Schizosaccharomyces pombe: one gene and its partners. The protein of the gene in region 2 binds, or shares a complex with, the protein of the main gene of each other region. Each region holds a gene or a part of one and is shown on either strand. Other genes may lie near its edges. The genes, in order: nam9, rsm19, snr1 and rsm7.

Region 1 (3,630 bases), on a different chromosome or scaffold from region 2:
TCATAAAAAATAAAAGCTCACTCACATTTTTTATAAATTGGCATGAAAATATGATCAATTAGTCCATAAATCCCAAATATTTCTGCTATATGTTCTTTAGTGACATTACGCGTCAAATTTTCCACAAGAATCTATTTTGCATCGTATTAGAAACGATTAGTATGCCTTAAATAACTAATTATACATGGAAAACGTACTGTTCGCAATGGTTCTTCTGGAGATCTGGAAAGCGAACTCGAGTAAGATCTATTCGAGGAAAAAGAATCACGACTACTAGACCGATGTGAGAAATTGGAAGAACGCGACGCTGAACGTCCAGATGGAGATCGGGTATTGTTAAATTGTCTTGTTGAGCTACGTCCACGATAAAAGGCCTCCTTTTGGTACATGAAAAAAGATGTGCCAGTTCTTGTATGTGTATAAGATTTGGTTACGTGGATAGCAGTAGACAGGGCAGTTACTTCATAGAGCAGGAAAACAAAAGTGGAAATCAACATAGTATTACAAAAAGCATAATTGAGAATGTTTTATATTTTATTACTAAACTTTTGAGAGGAGTTCATTTATTCGATTTATACGAGTTTCGTCAACTTTCCTTGACGAACTGGATACCGATGAGAGAATGCTTCTTTGGGAGAAACATTTCGTTTTTTATATAATTCAGGAGGTCCTTGATAAAATGATGCATCGCGTACTTTCTGCGGAATAAGCCGTCTGGCCTGACATCTAGCTGCTCCTTGCCGCATATTACGACTTCTGATATAGTATGTATAGGCTAAAGCGTGCAAGTCTTCAGGAAATGGAGAAGGAACTTCCGTTAAGCCAGGACGAGCAACTGGATCACGCACATAAACAAAGGAACAAGTGCGGAAGCAAACTTCTAAATAAGCAGGGATAAATGCCATTAGTGACATAAACGGTTTAGGAACAAAGTTGGAAATTGTTTCATTGATAGAGGGCAACTTTCCATTAGAAGTCTGTTCAAATAAATCATCATCATTATCCTTTTTTTTTTCATTTTCTCCATCCTTAGAGGACACCTGTTCAGTTTGCTTCCCATCCTGTATAGAAGGGGTATTGTTACTAGAGGCAGAAACACAATTCATTACTGATTTTTGATCAACAGTTACTAAATCACCAGGTAAGAGTTGACGATAGGCACGGCGTTCAGGTTTTCCGTTTACGTGCACTTTTCCATGAAGCACCAGTTGGCGAGCCTGTAAAGCGCTAGACGCAAATAACGCTCGATGAATAGACATGTCTAAACGGGATTCCAAAAATGCATAAGTCTGATTCATAAAAGGGATGGGAAGCTTATTATCTAAGGAAGAAATAACCCCCTCCAATTTTGGGCGGAAGGCATTTTTCAGTTGATATTCGCGTAATTGAGGACCATGATAAGACCTTGTTTCCTTCTTCGCATTCCATTTTTTTTGATATAAAGTTCTATTATTCAGAGCAGGTAGTTGTTTTCTTGCAATGTTGTATATATTGTATTTGTTCCACGACGGACGCAAAAGCTAGATATGTATTAATAAAAGCGAAAAAATCAATAATTTCATATATAACATACACCGCGCTTTAAAGAGAACCTAAATTTCCCCTTCATGAGCAATTAAGTCTTTGTCACGAGAGTCCAATCTTCCAGCGTAGTGCGTGAAGTTGATGGTAAATTCATAAAGGTGATTAAAGAGAACAAATTTTTAAAAAGGCTACTTTTACTCGAAAATTCAATTAGTAAATTTTATTTATTTAAGTTTTAATGCATTATAATTTGTACCAAAGCTAGAAGGTGCTTTACTATTTTCTGCAAAACAGCTGATGATGAGCATTAAGTTCCTCACGGCTGGCAAAGTGCCTCAGCCTGCAGCACAATTTTTAGATCATGGGTTTTTGAACTAAATTGATTTACATTAGTATTTCATTGTTACATAGAGTATTATCTTCTGCAGCCAGGCTATTAAGTGCAAATATGAACTGGCAGAAGTTAGCTCATAGCGCTACCTTCCTTATTAAACAAAGGAGAGCTGGACAGGACTTGCACAGAACCACACACCAAGTTTCAAGAGGCGTATATCTCTTTCGTTTTTGGTGATTTTGATACTCATTATTGATTTTTTAGTATTAAATTGCTATTATGATTTCCTCTGCTGTCATTCTGGTCGGGGGTCCATCTCGGTACGTACCAACGAAAAATAAGTCTATTAAACGCGTGAATATCAGTAACTAATTACTTTGCAGTGGTACCCGATTCCGCCCTCTTTCGTTTGATGTCCCTAAAGTACGTCTTATTTAGAATTTATATGTTGGTAAAATACGTAATCCAGTTTTACTTTCTAGTTGCATTTGAAACATAAGAGCTATTTTGCTAACTAAATTAGCCTTTGTTTAAAATTGGAGGACGAGAAATGATTTACCATCATTTGGCGGCTTTATCCAAGATTGAAAGTGTTAAAGATGTCTTTTTGGTTGGTTTCTACGATGAAAGCGTTTTCAAAGATTTTATCAACGAAGTAGCTTCGCATTTCCCCAGTTTCAATCGTATCAAGTATCTCCGTGAATACAACTGCTTAGGAACTGGTGGCGGCTTATACCATTTCCGTGATCAAATCCTTAAAGGACATACTTCTAATGTTTTTGTTATGCATGCGGATGTGTGTTGCAGTTTTCCCTTACAAGAATTGTTAAACGTTCATCACGAGAAGAAAGCTTTAGTTACTTTAATGGCTACTAAGGTTAGTAAAGAAGATGCTTCTAACTTCGGTTGCCTTGTAGAGGAACCAAGTACTGGGCGTGTACTTCATTATGTTGATAAGCCAAGCTCCTATCTTTCAAATATTATTTCATGTGGTATTTATATCTTTGATGCCTCTATATTCGATGAAATCAAAAAAGCGTACGAGCGTAGACTTGAGGAGGTCGAGAAGCAACTCAGGTCCTTGGATGAAGGAATGGAAGACTACCTCAGTTTGGAGACCGATGTGCTTGCTCCATTGTGCTCAGATTCCTCTAAAGCCATTTATGCTTATAATACTCCTGAGTTCTGGCGTCAAATAAAAACCGCTGGCTCTGCTGTTCCTGCTAATTCCTTGTATTTACAAAAGGCATATCATGATGGTACTCTTCCAAAACCCGACACTGAGGCTGAGATCATTCAGCCGGTTTTTATTCATCCTAATGCTATTGTTAGCAAAGGTGCAAAGATTGGACCCAATGTTTCAATTGGTGCTCGTGTTCGCATCGAGGATGGCGCACGTATTCGAAACTCAATTATTCAAGAGGATTGCGAAATTTCTGCCAATGCTGTTGTTTTACATTCCATTCTTTCCCGCCATTGCAAGATTGGTAAATGGTCTCGAGTCGAAGGTTCTCCAACTCTTCCAAGCCAGCACTCCACTACGATTATGCGTAACAGCGTTAAAGTCCAAGCTATTACTGTTATGGGCGCCGATTGTATAGTCCATGATGAAGTACGCGTTCAAAATTGCCTTGTACTTCCTCATAAAGAAATAAAGGTTGGTTTGGTTGGTGAGATTGTGATGTAAGATACTACATTTAACCTTGCAGCAAACTTGCTTTTTATTATATCTACTTGACTCTCCTTTATTATATAATATACATTTATTAGCT
Region 2 (3,468 bases):
GAAAATGGTCGTGAAAAAATCTAAACCAAAAAATGTATGCTCCTTCTTCCTTCACAATTTACGAACCATGTAAAAGGGGAGTTTCTTTTCTCTTCTTTAAATGTTTCTTTGTTTACTTTTACTGGTAAAATCGAACCCTTTTTTCTAACTTTTTCTTTTTGTAGCAAATTCGCGTGGAGGATTTGGACCTTCCCAAGCTAAACACTTCTAAAAATCCCCAAACTAAGATTCAGAAAAAGGGGAAGAAGAAGGGGAAAATATTTGCTGAAACTAAGGTAATTCATTCTCACATCCATGTTCTTTCATTATAGATGTTGAAAATGCTTCCATTTACTCAACAAGTAATATTCAAAAACATTAAACAACAAAAATCTCAAGTCAGTGTGGTAGATGTTACGATGATAAATATCTCTCTATATAAATCCTACAAATCTTGTTTATAAACTTTCAAGGCCCTGAACCCTATTCTTCCGCATTCGTTCCTCTTTACCACCAGATCCGACAAATAAGGTTTTAAGTGAACTTGCTGCGCTTTTTGAGTCATGTAATCTAATTTTTGATCTGATTTGGTTTGTTTGTTTTTTTACTTTTTGATTTTAATTGATGGGCATTCCTTCATCTATTTATTCATTTTCCACATTCATTGTTCATTAACTAATTGCTGTTACAGGATGACCTTCAAAATATTCTCAATCAAGTTACTTATGAGCTTGACGATAAAATAAAATCTAAACTTCAAGTGGCTGTAAGTATTTCCATGAATTATTTTGATTTCAAGTTTCAGTCAATTTACTAACTATTTACGTTAGCACGAGCGCGAAGCCGTCTTTTCTAAACAATCTGACAGAAAAATCAGCAATAACAAAGCTGATAAAAAGACGGGTCGGAAAAACGAAAAGAAATGAGTTATTCAATTGTTATAACGACACTTCCAAAGATCCTTTTTTTCGTATTGCCTTTCAATTATTAATTTTTCATTTTCTTTTGGGATATCGGGTTCATTCGGTTTTTCGATGCTGTTAATTATTCATTATACAGACTACTAAATAAGTACAACCAATAACATTAAACACATAAGCCATTGCGTTTCAAATTTAAAAATAAAAAATCCAAGTAGGGGAATGCAAAATTCTTTTGTAAAACATTGACAGAAAATTATGCAACATCATATCACTTTTTCATACATACATTTATACGTGCAAGTACATCCATTGGAAGAAGTGCTGTCATTAAAAGCCTGAAAGTAATGAAAAGATTCGGCGAATTATATATTCGCTTTCTTACAGGAAATGTCCTACAAAATACTAATATGGTAGCTCCATTTAAAGTCACGAATTGAAATTTTGAGGCAGACTTGAAATTCTTGGTAGTTATGAATCCATGTGAAAAGTGTTTTGAATAGGCCATATAGCCCAGTTTTCGCCAAGAATCCAAAATAATTACCGATTTTTAGTTTGTCTGTAATGAAATGCTTTTCTGGTAGGTGCAAATTCACCTAATTTATGCCCGATCATATCTTCTGTAATTTTTACATTGGCATATGATTTACCATTATGAACCATAAATTGAGCACTAGAATTTAGTTAGTTAACGTCCACACTTGCTAAATACGAGTATCATACCCAACCATTCTAGGTAAAATAGTTGCAGATCGCACAGCTGTTTTTATAGGAACGTTTCCTTTAATACATTGCTGAACGTTGACACCGAAATCGACCACGTTGGGTCCTATAATGTCAGAATAACAGGTTCTAAATTATTTTCAAAACAAGTATATTTATATTCATTTACCTTTCCAGACTGACCGAGCTCTGGCTACACTAGTCCAAAACATGAGGTGAAATGTTAGAAAGCTAGTTAATTGCTAATGCAGCAATCGTTAATAAATGTGAGGTAGCAACCTGGTGTTGTTACTTCCACTTCGTTTTAACCATTGAACGAGGTGGAGGTGCCAAGTCCTACTCTCCAACTACCACTAACAGCGAATATTTGCATTTCTCGTCTGCTAGATTCGTATTAATAACAGAGATGGAAGGCTCTGATTTTATTTTGGTAGTTGACTCTTCCGTAGAGGAACAGGTATGTCGCTAATGACTCGGCGATTTTTGGTAAAACTTTTTTCAACTAACGAAATTTCAAAAGGTGGAAGAATTGGCTATGTATTTGGATAATCTTGAGGCTAATACCGATAAAAATGTACTTGCTCTTTGCCGAGAATATTTGGCTTCTGAAAATGTTAAAGAAGTTCTTAATCTGTTTCTGACTCGCTTGCCATTGTTGGCACAAGCACCTGAGAAAGGTAATGCAAAATAGTTTTAGGCTAGGAAATTAAAGAATTATTTTAATAAGTGCTAAAGGGCATTTGTTATATTGTTAGTTCTGAAAGTATACTATGAGCTGATGTGTTTGGTTTGCAGCTTTCCAAGTTTTCGCTTATTTTCTCTTCCATGCTATTACTAACACGAAACAGAACTCGAGCCTATTTTAGCCGTCTTTATTAATCTTATCCAAGAATCTGCTGCTTTCGAAGATCATGTTTCTAAATTTTGCCAAGCCTTAGAGCAGATTGCCGATCAAAACAACAATCTCACTCCTGCCATACTCAGTGTCTTAAGCATTTTATTTAATACGGCCGTCAAAGAACGTCAACACGCACGTTTAAGCATTCTTACTAGTGTTGTTACTCTCACTACCCGTTATTCCTTGTTTAGCACTCTTGCACCTAATTTGAAATACTTCCCTGACTGGCTTAAAGAAGCTGGTGTCAGTGTATCGGACCATCGGGCATTTAATATTTTTGTTTCTAAAGCTATTCAATCATACGATGATGAGCAATCATTTGCTTTCCTTTTGGAAGCCGTAAAAATGGACAACTCAACTGCTGACGAGGCGGTTCGCGAATTAGTTCAACGCGCTGTTAACAGCCCTAAGTACTTTTTCTTTGATGATATTGTCACCCTTCCACCCGTTCAGCAGCTTGAACAAAGTACTTTACAGTTACTTGGTATTTTGTCCGGCGGGATGACCGACGATTATGTAAGTTGGGTTGCCGAAAACCATGCTCATTGCCAACACCAAAAATTTGATGAAGATGCAATTGCACGTAAGATGAAACTTTTAACTATTGCTTCATTAGCTACCCAGGCTCCCAATAATACATTATCCTATGGTGATGTAGCCAAGAGTTTGAAGATTGATGAAAATGAAGTAGAATTATGGATCATTGATGTTATTCGTGCTGGACTTGTTGAAGGCCGCATGTCTCAGTTGACTAAAACGTTATCCATTCACCGTAGCAGCTATCGTGTCTTTGGTAAGCACGAATGGGTTGCTTTACACGAAAAATTAGCTAAATGGGGTTCAAGTTTACGTTACATGCTACAAGTAATGGAGCAACCTTTATCTAGCTTTACTATAGCCTCTAGCAAAAAGGGAAATAGAGACGGATCCGCGGTCACAGCCTCTGAA
Region 3 (3,763 bases), on a different chromosome or scaffold from region 2:
CGCCGCCGCCTTTTTGAAAAACGAAGGTGGAGTTGTTATCTCTGTTAAGGCTTCTTGTATTGATTCTACCGCTGATGCAGCTGTTGTTTTTGCTCGTGAGGTTAAGAAAATGCAAGAGGAAAAGATTAAACCTCAAGAACAACTTACTTTAGAGCCTTACGAACGTGATCACTGTATCATCGTAGGAAAATACTTGAGACATCAGTAAACAGAAATATATGCCATAAGTGCATGCTTTTTTAGTTTATCATATAATTTTTTTTGCTAGAAAAGCTTATGGTAAGGCCGTGAGCAATTGGAATAATAAAAATATATTTTGGGTATGCGTTTGGCAGTTTTGTCAATTATTTTCTCATTGTTTGATCCAATATGGGAATTATGGAATATATATTAATGCCGTTAGCATTCTTTTTTTTGAACTATCGTACGCACAGCTACCGAAAAAGAGTTTTAGTATGAGTATTTAAAATGGCTATCATTATTTTTAGCTGCTAAAAAGAGTTATGTGCTTTATCGCATGCTAAAACATAACAGGGTCTTTGAAATAAATCATCTTATTATAATACTGAAAAAACTTAGTAGACATAAAGAACAATATTTAATTTATGTAACCTTTGGGATTATAAATAAGGATAAGTCTTATAATTCCAAAGGGGAGTTTTACGTCTTCCTTTTGCAGCAAAAGATATCCCATTATTGTATTCTGAAGGCAACTTGAAATAGTTTTCTAAATCTTTAAAGTGATATTCATGGGATTTGCTCCATTTTGGATTTTTGGTCTTTGTAATAAGTTGAGCATTAACACCTTCAACAAAATCAGGCTGTTTAAGCATATAATAGGAAACGATATGATCATAGTAAAATGCTTCAGATATACTCCACTTAGCAGCAGACTTAATAAGTCGATTGGTAACAGCAATTGAAGTCGGAGATTTGCTATACAATGTTTTAACGGTAGATTTTGCAAATTCCGCTAAAGCACTAGTGTTTGAAGCATATTCTTTTAACGCACGAATAATATCAACGGTATCATTTTTGCAGAAGCATTTATTAATGACATCCATAACGTCTGGAGTAAAAGTGGGTGGTGAACTGCTAGCAAATTCGGCAAATTCCAGGATTGTATTATTGATTTTAGAAATATCAGACGTGTTTAACTCTGCAAGCCTGTCCTCCAAATGAGGAAACATATGCTTCGGAACGAAATGAGTTGCAATTCCAGTACGCAGGCAATCATATCCTTTTACGATTTGAGATGTCAATCCCAGATAAGTTCCAAAGTATCCTGGTAGTCTACTGAAGAAGAAACTGGCAGCCACGTCAGTAAAATAGCCAATTCCGGTTTCTGGCATAGCAAACATCGTATCTTCACACGCAATACGGAAAGGAACATGCATAGCCAAACCAGATCCACCTCCCATGGTGATGCCATTCATCAAAGCCACAACTGGTTTCTGGTATGTAGCTAACGTATGGCTTAATCGATACTCTTGAGCAAATGCATGGCGAACTTCAGGTAATTTTCCATCTTGTATTGAAAGTGCTGCAGCTTTAATGTCACCTCCCGAACTAAAAGAGCGACCATTTCCTTTAAGAATAATTACCTTGGCCAGATTTGATTCTTCTAATGAAACTAGCTTTGGTAGGATTGAATCTATCATGTCAACGTTGATAGCGTTCAATACTTTTGGCCTGTTTAAAGTAAATATCCTTGCTCCATTTTTACTCTCGTATAAAACTGTATCATTTGAGGAAGTGCTATAAAATTTTGGATTTCGAATAAACGCTCTAGACATGGTGCTACTTGCATTCAAAGAAAGGAAATTTGACACACTTGTTTTAAGTAAGGATTGCCTTAACATAAATCCAGATTTTTTCAAATCGTTAGAGATATTTAATTTCAATCCCATGAAAGCTAACCAAGTTAAATAACACCGATTATTTTTGCATAGACGGTTAACGTCTCTTCTACGTTACTTTATAACGAAGTGTGTTCTTAATTGTGAACTAATAACAAATCACAAAAGACCATTCGTAAAACAAAGTAGGTTTCCATGCATTAGCTGGGCAAATACTTGTCTCAAAAAATCTATATTTAGTATTAATTTAGTTTCTCAGGGTTTGTCGATTTTAAAAGTCTTAAACCACTTGTTGCATAGCATTGAGTACTCAAAACTGTTATTGTAATACACAGGTGCTATTTGCAACAACAATTTAAGGTGTCAGAATGAGCAAATTCCAAATATTTAATGTACGACATCACATAGTATAAATAATTATTTCTTCTATTTTAGGTAATGAATGAGATATCATTAATTTATCTAACAGTATACAGTCATAAAGTTCCTGTTGCATAAAACAACGTAATTTAATGAACTCGATACTTTACGCTTTACGATACTTTTGAATGCACAATATGTTATAATGAAATGCATTGTGATACTTAGTACATTGTGTTAGACTAATTGAAAGTAAAATACATCCATTCTTCAGGTACTAGTCGTCCATTTCACAAACTAATCAGAATGACAGCAAAAATGTTGCACTTGGTGCGATATAAATTTCCGTCGTTGGAGCCCGCGAGTCTTTTTCTTATTCCCGGAAGTTTCCTGCAAGAAAGATTTCGTCGAGATATTTTGCATCGTGCCGTTATTTATGAAGCAGATAATGACCGTCAAGGCACTGCTAGCTCAAAGCGCCGAAATGAAATTACTTGTTCCGGTCGAAAACTTTATCGACAAAAAGGTACAGGACATGCACGGGTAGGCGATGCCTCAAGTCCTATAAGAAGAGGTGGTGCTAAATCACATGGTCCTAAGCCTAGAGATTTCAGTACAAAATTACAAACCCAAGTTTATAATTTAGCAATGAGGATTGCGCTAAGTACAAGATTTATTAATAATGAACTGACCATCCTTGAAAATCCCATCAACTTAAGTCAACCAAAAACACGGATTTTGCTTGAAGTTTTGAAGCAACACAAGTTAGGACACGAGTACGGGAAGGCACTTTTTGTCCTTAACGATAATTACTTTGAAGATGAGTCCCTTAAAAATAATAATTTATTGCTTGCATCTAGACAGTTAGGCTACCATTGCTCCTTTATTCCTGTTGGTGAGTTTCAGGTTCGAGATGCACTAAAATTCGGTAAACTATTTATTGATTCTGAAGCCATGTCGTTAATTGTAGAGAAGTTTGCTCAACGAAATACACTAAGTGATATGGATCAACCTGCTTCCCTGACTGCTTATGTTGATGCAAATAGTAGTTCTTTTACGAAATCAAAACCTGAACCGTCTTTATCTCTATGATATGAAATAAACGCATATCTTTCAATTGTTTTTGAATTTCATGAATCTACATTTTCCGATTTTGGTAGTTACGGAAACATTATAATCCACAATCATTAATTCTTTTTTCAATCCTTTCTCTTGTCGTGTTTAAATTTTTTAATTTCGGCTTATTTAGTTTACTGTCTTGATTAGTTACCTCTTGGTTAACAATGGCTGGCATGTTCCGTATTCCTATTGCCGTCGTTCAGATTGCTGCATTTGTGCATCAAATTCATGAGTATCTTTTTCAAGTGCAAATGACATCGGGTCCAAGTATGATGCCAACATTAAATTCTGGGTATTGAAATAACGCTTTGTATTTATGGTTCTAACTTAAAAAGTGGTGAATTCGTTTTGTTAGATAAATTGCATGGTAGGTTTGCTCGTTCATGTTCTGTAGGAGATGTTGTTGTTTCGGCAAAACCTTCCGA
Region 4 (3,220 bases), 3.1 Mb from region 2:
CAGAACTTAGACCTGATATCACTATGCGAATTGACAAAGAAGCTCTACCGTTTATGAAAAACATCAATCAGCTTTCGGAAAGACTTTTGGAAAAAAGTTTGGGGTATGTATATTCGGTTTTATTAATTGTTATTGCTTCGGTATGCCTAACAACTTGTAGAAACTCTAAACGATTTAACAACGAAAATGAAGAAACATACTTAAAAGAATCTGGTTTTCACGATTTAGAAGAAGAAGCCAGTGACTCTAAAGTTGTCTTAAAAATCAAAGGTCAAGATCAGTTATTGGAAAATAATTTTGTCCCCTCAAAAAATCAAGTTGGTTTAGAGCCTTTGCCTTCATTGGAAGCTCTTCAACATTTATACCAGGAAGATTCGATAAGCTTAAATCACATTGAACATGATTCTGACTCTTTGGCTGAAGCCGCTATGCAGCTTACTCAGAGTATGCGCGAAAAGCATGAGTTTGAGACCCACGGCACTGCATCAAATTTACCTATTGACATAAAAAATGAAATTGTTTTGTGCCATACCGTTACGATAGAATTTTTGCATCAATTTTGGAATGCCTTGTTGAATACAACTTTCCCGGACAAGAAGGCGATGGCCCCCCTTCAGAATGCTCTGTTAAATTCGAAAAAAAGGGTGGAGGCAATTGCGAGCCAGGCTCAGGAACAAAACGTTGATCCAAAACTGGTTTATGAGGTAAGTTTTTTTTGTAGAGATTTTGATTATTAACTAGGATTAGTTGGTATCCTGTACGCTCACTTCTATTGATACGTCAATCTCGGAGTATCAAAGACGAATGTCTTATCCTCCTGCTTAGGTTTGATAATGTCTTTGGAAACTCAATTGTGCTTGTAAAAGGTAATTGTTTCTGTTTTTCCATATAGAGGTTAATGATATATTGATATATTCTTTATTGGACTTAATGTTCTTTCTTCATAAAGGCTGGAAAAAATGAACATTGAAATGCTGGATATGGCTCTTTTTCTGTTTATACAACTCTTGAATTAAAAAACTTTTGTTTTGGTTTATAGATTCAAAAGACAATCAAAACTGTTTTTAGATTACTGTGCTCATAGGCCAAAATCTAATGTTTTTATGTCTTTATAGATTTTATTATTTATTAAAATTCGTTTTATGACACGAATATAGTATGTTATAAACTGATGTTCAATTAATTAATGTCCCATAATTTCTCTCTTTTGTTTTAAATGCTTGTTTTTACAATTTTTCAATTTATCGCTTCTCTGTATATTATATATAACTTTTTTTTTTACTTTCTTTCAAGGTATCAGTTCTGTATGATCCCAATAAAACTGTGTCTAGCTCAAGTATTAAATTTGGATACACAATTAATGATGAATATTTTAACATCGATTACCTAATTTATCTTATTTCAAGTTAATAAATAAATAGCCAAACGACTTTGAAATGTAGCACGCTAGCGCCTAGTTCCCTTCCCTTTTCTTTCATTTATCCATAGTGTATATGTACTAAGCTTAAACATCTACGCACACCTTAGCTTTCCTACATGCTTTGATTAATAAGAGTAATTGTTTTAAAAATTTCATTCAAGAAGAAAGAACAAACAATAAAGGGCCATGCTACGACTCATAAAGCAACCTTTGTTTCGATGTGCGAGTTCGGGACATTTGATGAAAGAGTCGCTTGTTTTTATCCATCAGACTCGTACTTTTCAAGTTGGAAAATTTACCTCAAATGAAAAATATAATGAAAAAATTGAAGATATCAATGAACGTTCAAATCCACAATGGGATAATGCGGGACTCGAAAATTTACTGAATCAACTTCAAGATTCTGTCGAACAGTCTGCCTCCGACGATTTTATGGGTGAATTAGAGAAAAAAATTGAAGTTGAAAATGAAGAACCGCCGCTAATGGGTACAAATCTGTGGCCTTCTCCGTCAAGTTCAATTGTAGGGTTAATAGATCGACCATTTCAGGTCGACTCTACAGTACAGCATTTGGTGAATTTAATAATGCGAGATGGGAAAAAAGCTAAAGCTGAAAAGATTGTTGCAACAGCGCTCTCTATCATACAAAAAGAAACCGGTGAAAATCCTATAGATGTTTTGAAACAAGCAATCGCTGAGATTTCTCCCTTAATGAAGTTGGTACGTCGAAATTATTGAAAATTTTGGAATTTTTTGTGAATTATTTCTTTTTATAGTGTGTAGACGGATTTGCTAATATTTTGATAGGTTTCTGCAAAGCGATTTAACAAAAGTGTCGAATTTCCTATGCCATTGAAAGAGCGACAGCGAAGAAGGATTGCGTTACAATGGATCCTCGGTGAATGTAAATCATCAAGTCCTAAAAGATTATCAGATCGTATTGTTAAAGAAATCATTGCTATCAGGAGCAAGACAAGCAATTGTTTCAAAAAGAAAGATCATCTGCACAGAATGTGCCTTGTTAACAGAGGTAATGCACCCGTTCGTATATAAAAACAAAAATTCCGTACATTTTTATCTTTTTTATGAATTGCATTCCCTTTTAGTAATGTTATTTTTGTCTAGTATATCGAGAATTGATTACTCTTAGTTATCAACTCAATTATACTACGTAGTGCGCAGTTAATCATATTCATGTTTATGAGGTTATAGTTTGGTTGTAAAATAACTTTCATAATATTCATCAACATTCTTCTACAGCTCCTTTTCAGTTAACGGAAATGCTACAGAATTTATCTTCTATGAAGTATATTGTTGTTTTTTCAAAACAAAGAAGGGAAAGTAAATTAGTTCATCGACTAAACTGTTAATTTCCTCTATATAAATTAAATTGACAATGTACAGCTAGCACAATGCTAGTTTAGAAATAAACAACAACGTGCAAAGACACAGTATCCATTCCTTTATTATGGACAGGATCCATAAGTTCAAACGTGCACGTTTCAAATGCCATTAAAACGTCTTCATCGGATGTGATGGTTATAAAATCGCCATCCTCATCAACATACTTCAGTCTAACCCGAAAAGGAACAGCTTGTTTCAAAATCCCACAAAGCTTTATTTTATGTTCTACCTTGGCTAACAGCTCATCAAATGTTATATCATGAGCAACAACCAGGACGAGACTAACCTCATGTAAACGGAGACGAATTTTAACATTCGTGGTATTTCGAACTGATAGGGAGGTAGACGTGGAACTCGAGCTTAACGAAGTATGTTTAGTAGAAGGGAGCAAACTAC

Evidence for each region.
Region 1: rsm19 (region 2) and nam9 share a complex: the UniProt entries of both Schizosaccharomyces pombe proteins name them as parts of the mitochondrial small ribosomal subunit.
Region 3: rsm19 (region 2) and snr1 share a complex: the UniProt entries of both Schizosaccharomyces pombe proteins name them as parts of the mitochondrial small ribosomal subunit.
Region 4: rsm19 (region 2) and rsm7 share a complex: the UniProt entries of both Schizosaccharomyces pombe proteins name them as parts of the mitochondrial small ribosomal subunit.

The regions. Positions count from the first base shown.
Region 1 is NC_003423.3:3,727,680-3,731,309, forward strand, and holds nam9 (mitochondrial 37S ribosomal protein uS4m), read right to left. Parts: upstream 1,671-3,630; 5' UTR 1,610-1,670; coding exon 1,574-1,609; intron 1,521-1,573; coding exon 573-1,520; 3' UTR 516-572; downstream 1-515. Other genes in the region: rns1 (putative RNA-binding protein), read right to left, coding at 26-131, 198-389; mpg2 (mannose-1-phosphate guanyltransferase), read left to right, coding at 2,138-2,178, 2,242-2,281, 2,382-3,545. UniProt on the Schizosaccharomyces pombe protein: Component of the mitochondrial ribosome (mitoribosome), a dedicated translation machinery responsible for the synthesis of mitochondrial genome-encoded proteins, including at least some of the essential transmembrane subunits of the mitochondrial respiratory chain.
Region 2 is NC_003424.3:384,316-387,783, forward strand, and holds rsm19 (mitochondrial 37S ribosomal protein uS19m), read right to left. Parts: upstream 1,856-3,468; 5' UTR 1,835-1,855; coding exon 1,792-1,834; exon of another isoform or gene 1,729-1,791; coding exon 1,623-1,728; exon of another isoform or gene 1,573-1,622; coding exon 1,440-1,572; 3' UTR 906-1,439; coding exon of another isoform or gene 810-905; 3' UTR 746-809; coding exon of another isoform or gene 671-745; 3' UTR 571-670; downstream 1-570. Other genes in the region: pre-ribosomal protein Loc1, read left to right, coding at 5-34, 165-275, 671-745, 810-905; tif313 (translation initiation factor eIF3m), read left to right, coding at 2,029-2,079, 2,143-2,299, 2,471-3,468. UniProt on the Schizosaccharomyces pombe protein: Component of the mitochondrial ribosome (mitoribosome), a dedicated translation machinery responsible for the synthesis of mitochondrial genome-encoded proteins, including at least some of the essential transmembrane subunits of the mitochondrial respiratory chain.
Region 3 is NC_003423.3:2,979,209-2,982,971, reverse strand, and holds snr1 (mitochondrial 37S ribosomal protein mS47 ), read right to left. Parts: upstream 1,971-3,763; 5' UTR 1,911-1,970; coding exon 621-1,910; 3' UTR 532-620; downstream 1-531. Other genes in the region: fib1 (fibrillarin, rRNA and histone methyltransferase), read left to right, coding at 1-208; yml6 (mitochondrial 54S ribosomal protein uL4m), read left to right, coding at 2,526-3,311; mmp1 (endopeptidase catalytic subunit), read left to right, coding at 3,503-3,630, 3,674-3,763. UniProt on the Schizosaccharomyces pombe protein: Component of the mitochondrial ribosome (mitoribosome), a dedicated translation machinery responsible for the synthesis of mitochondrial genome-encoded proteins, including at least some of the essential transmembrane subunits of the mitochondrial respiratory chain.
Region 4 is NC_003424.3:3,518,147-3,521,366, reverse strand, and holds rsm7 (mitochondrial 37S ribosomal protein uS7m), read left to right. Parts: upstream 1-1,525; 5' UTR 1,526-1,606; coding exon 1,607-2,140; intron 2,141-2,227; coding exon 2,228-2,473; 3' UTR 2,474-2,653; downstream 2,654-3,220. Other genes in the region: transcription factor TFIIH complex subunit Tfb1, read left to right, coding at 1-103, 161-704, 748-825; RhoGEF Scd1, read right to left, coding at 2,841-3,220. UniProt on the Schizosaccharomyces pombe protein: Component of the mitochondrial ribosome (mitoribosome), a dedicated translation machinery responsible for the synthesis of mitochondrial genome-encoded proteins, including at least some of the essential transmembrane subunits of the mitochondrial respiratory chain.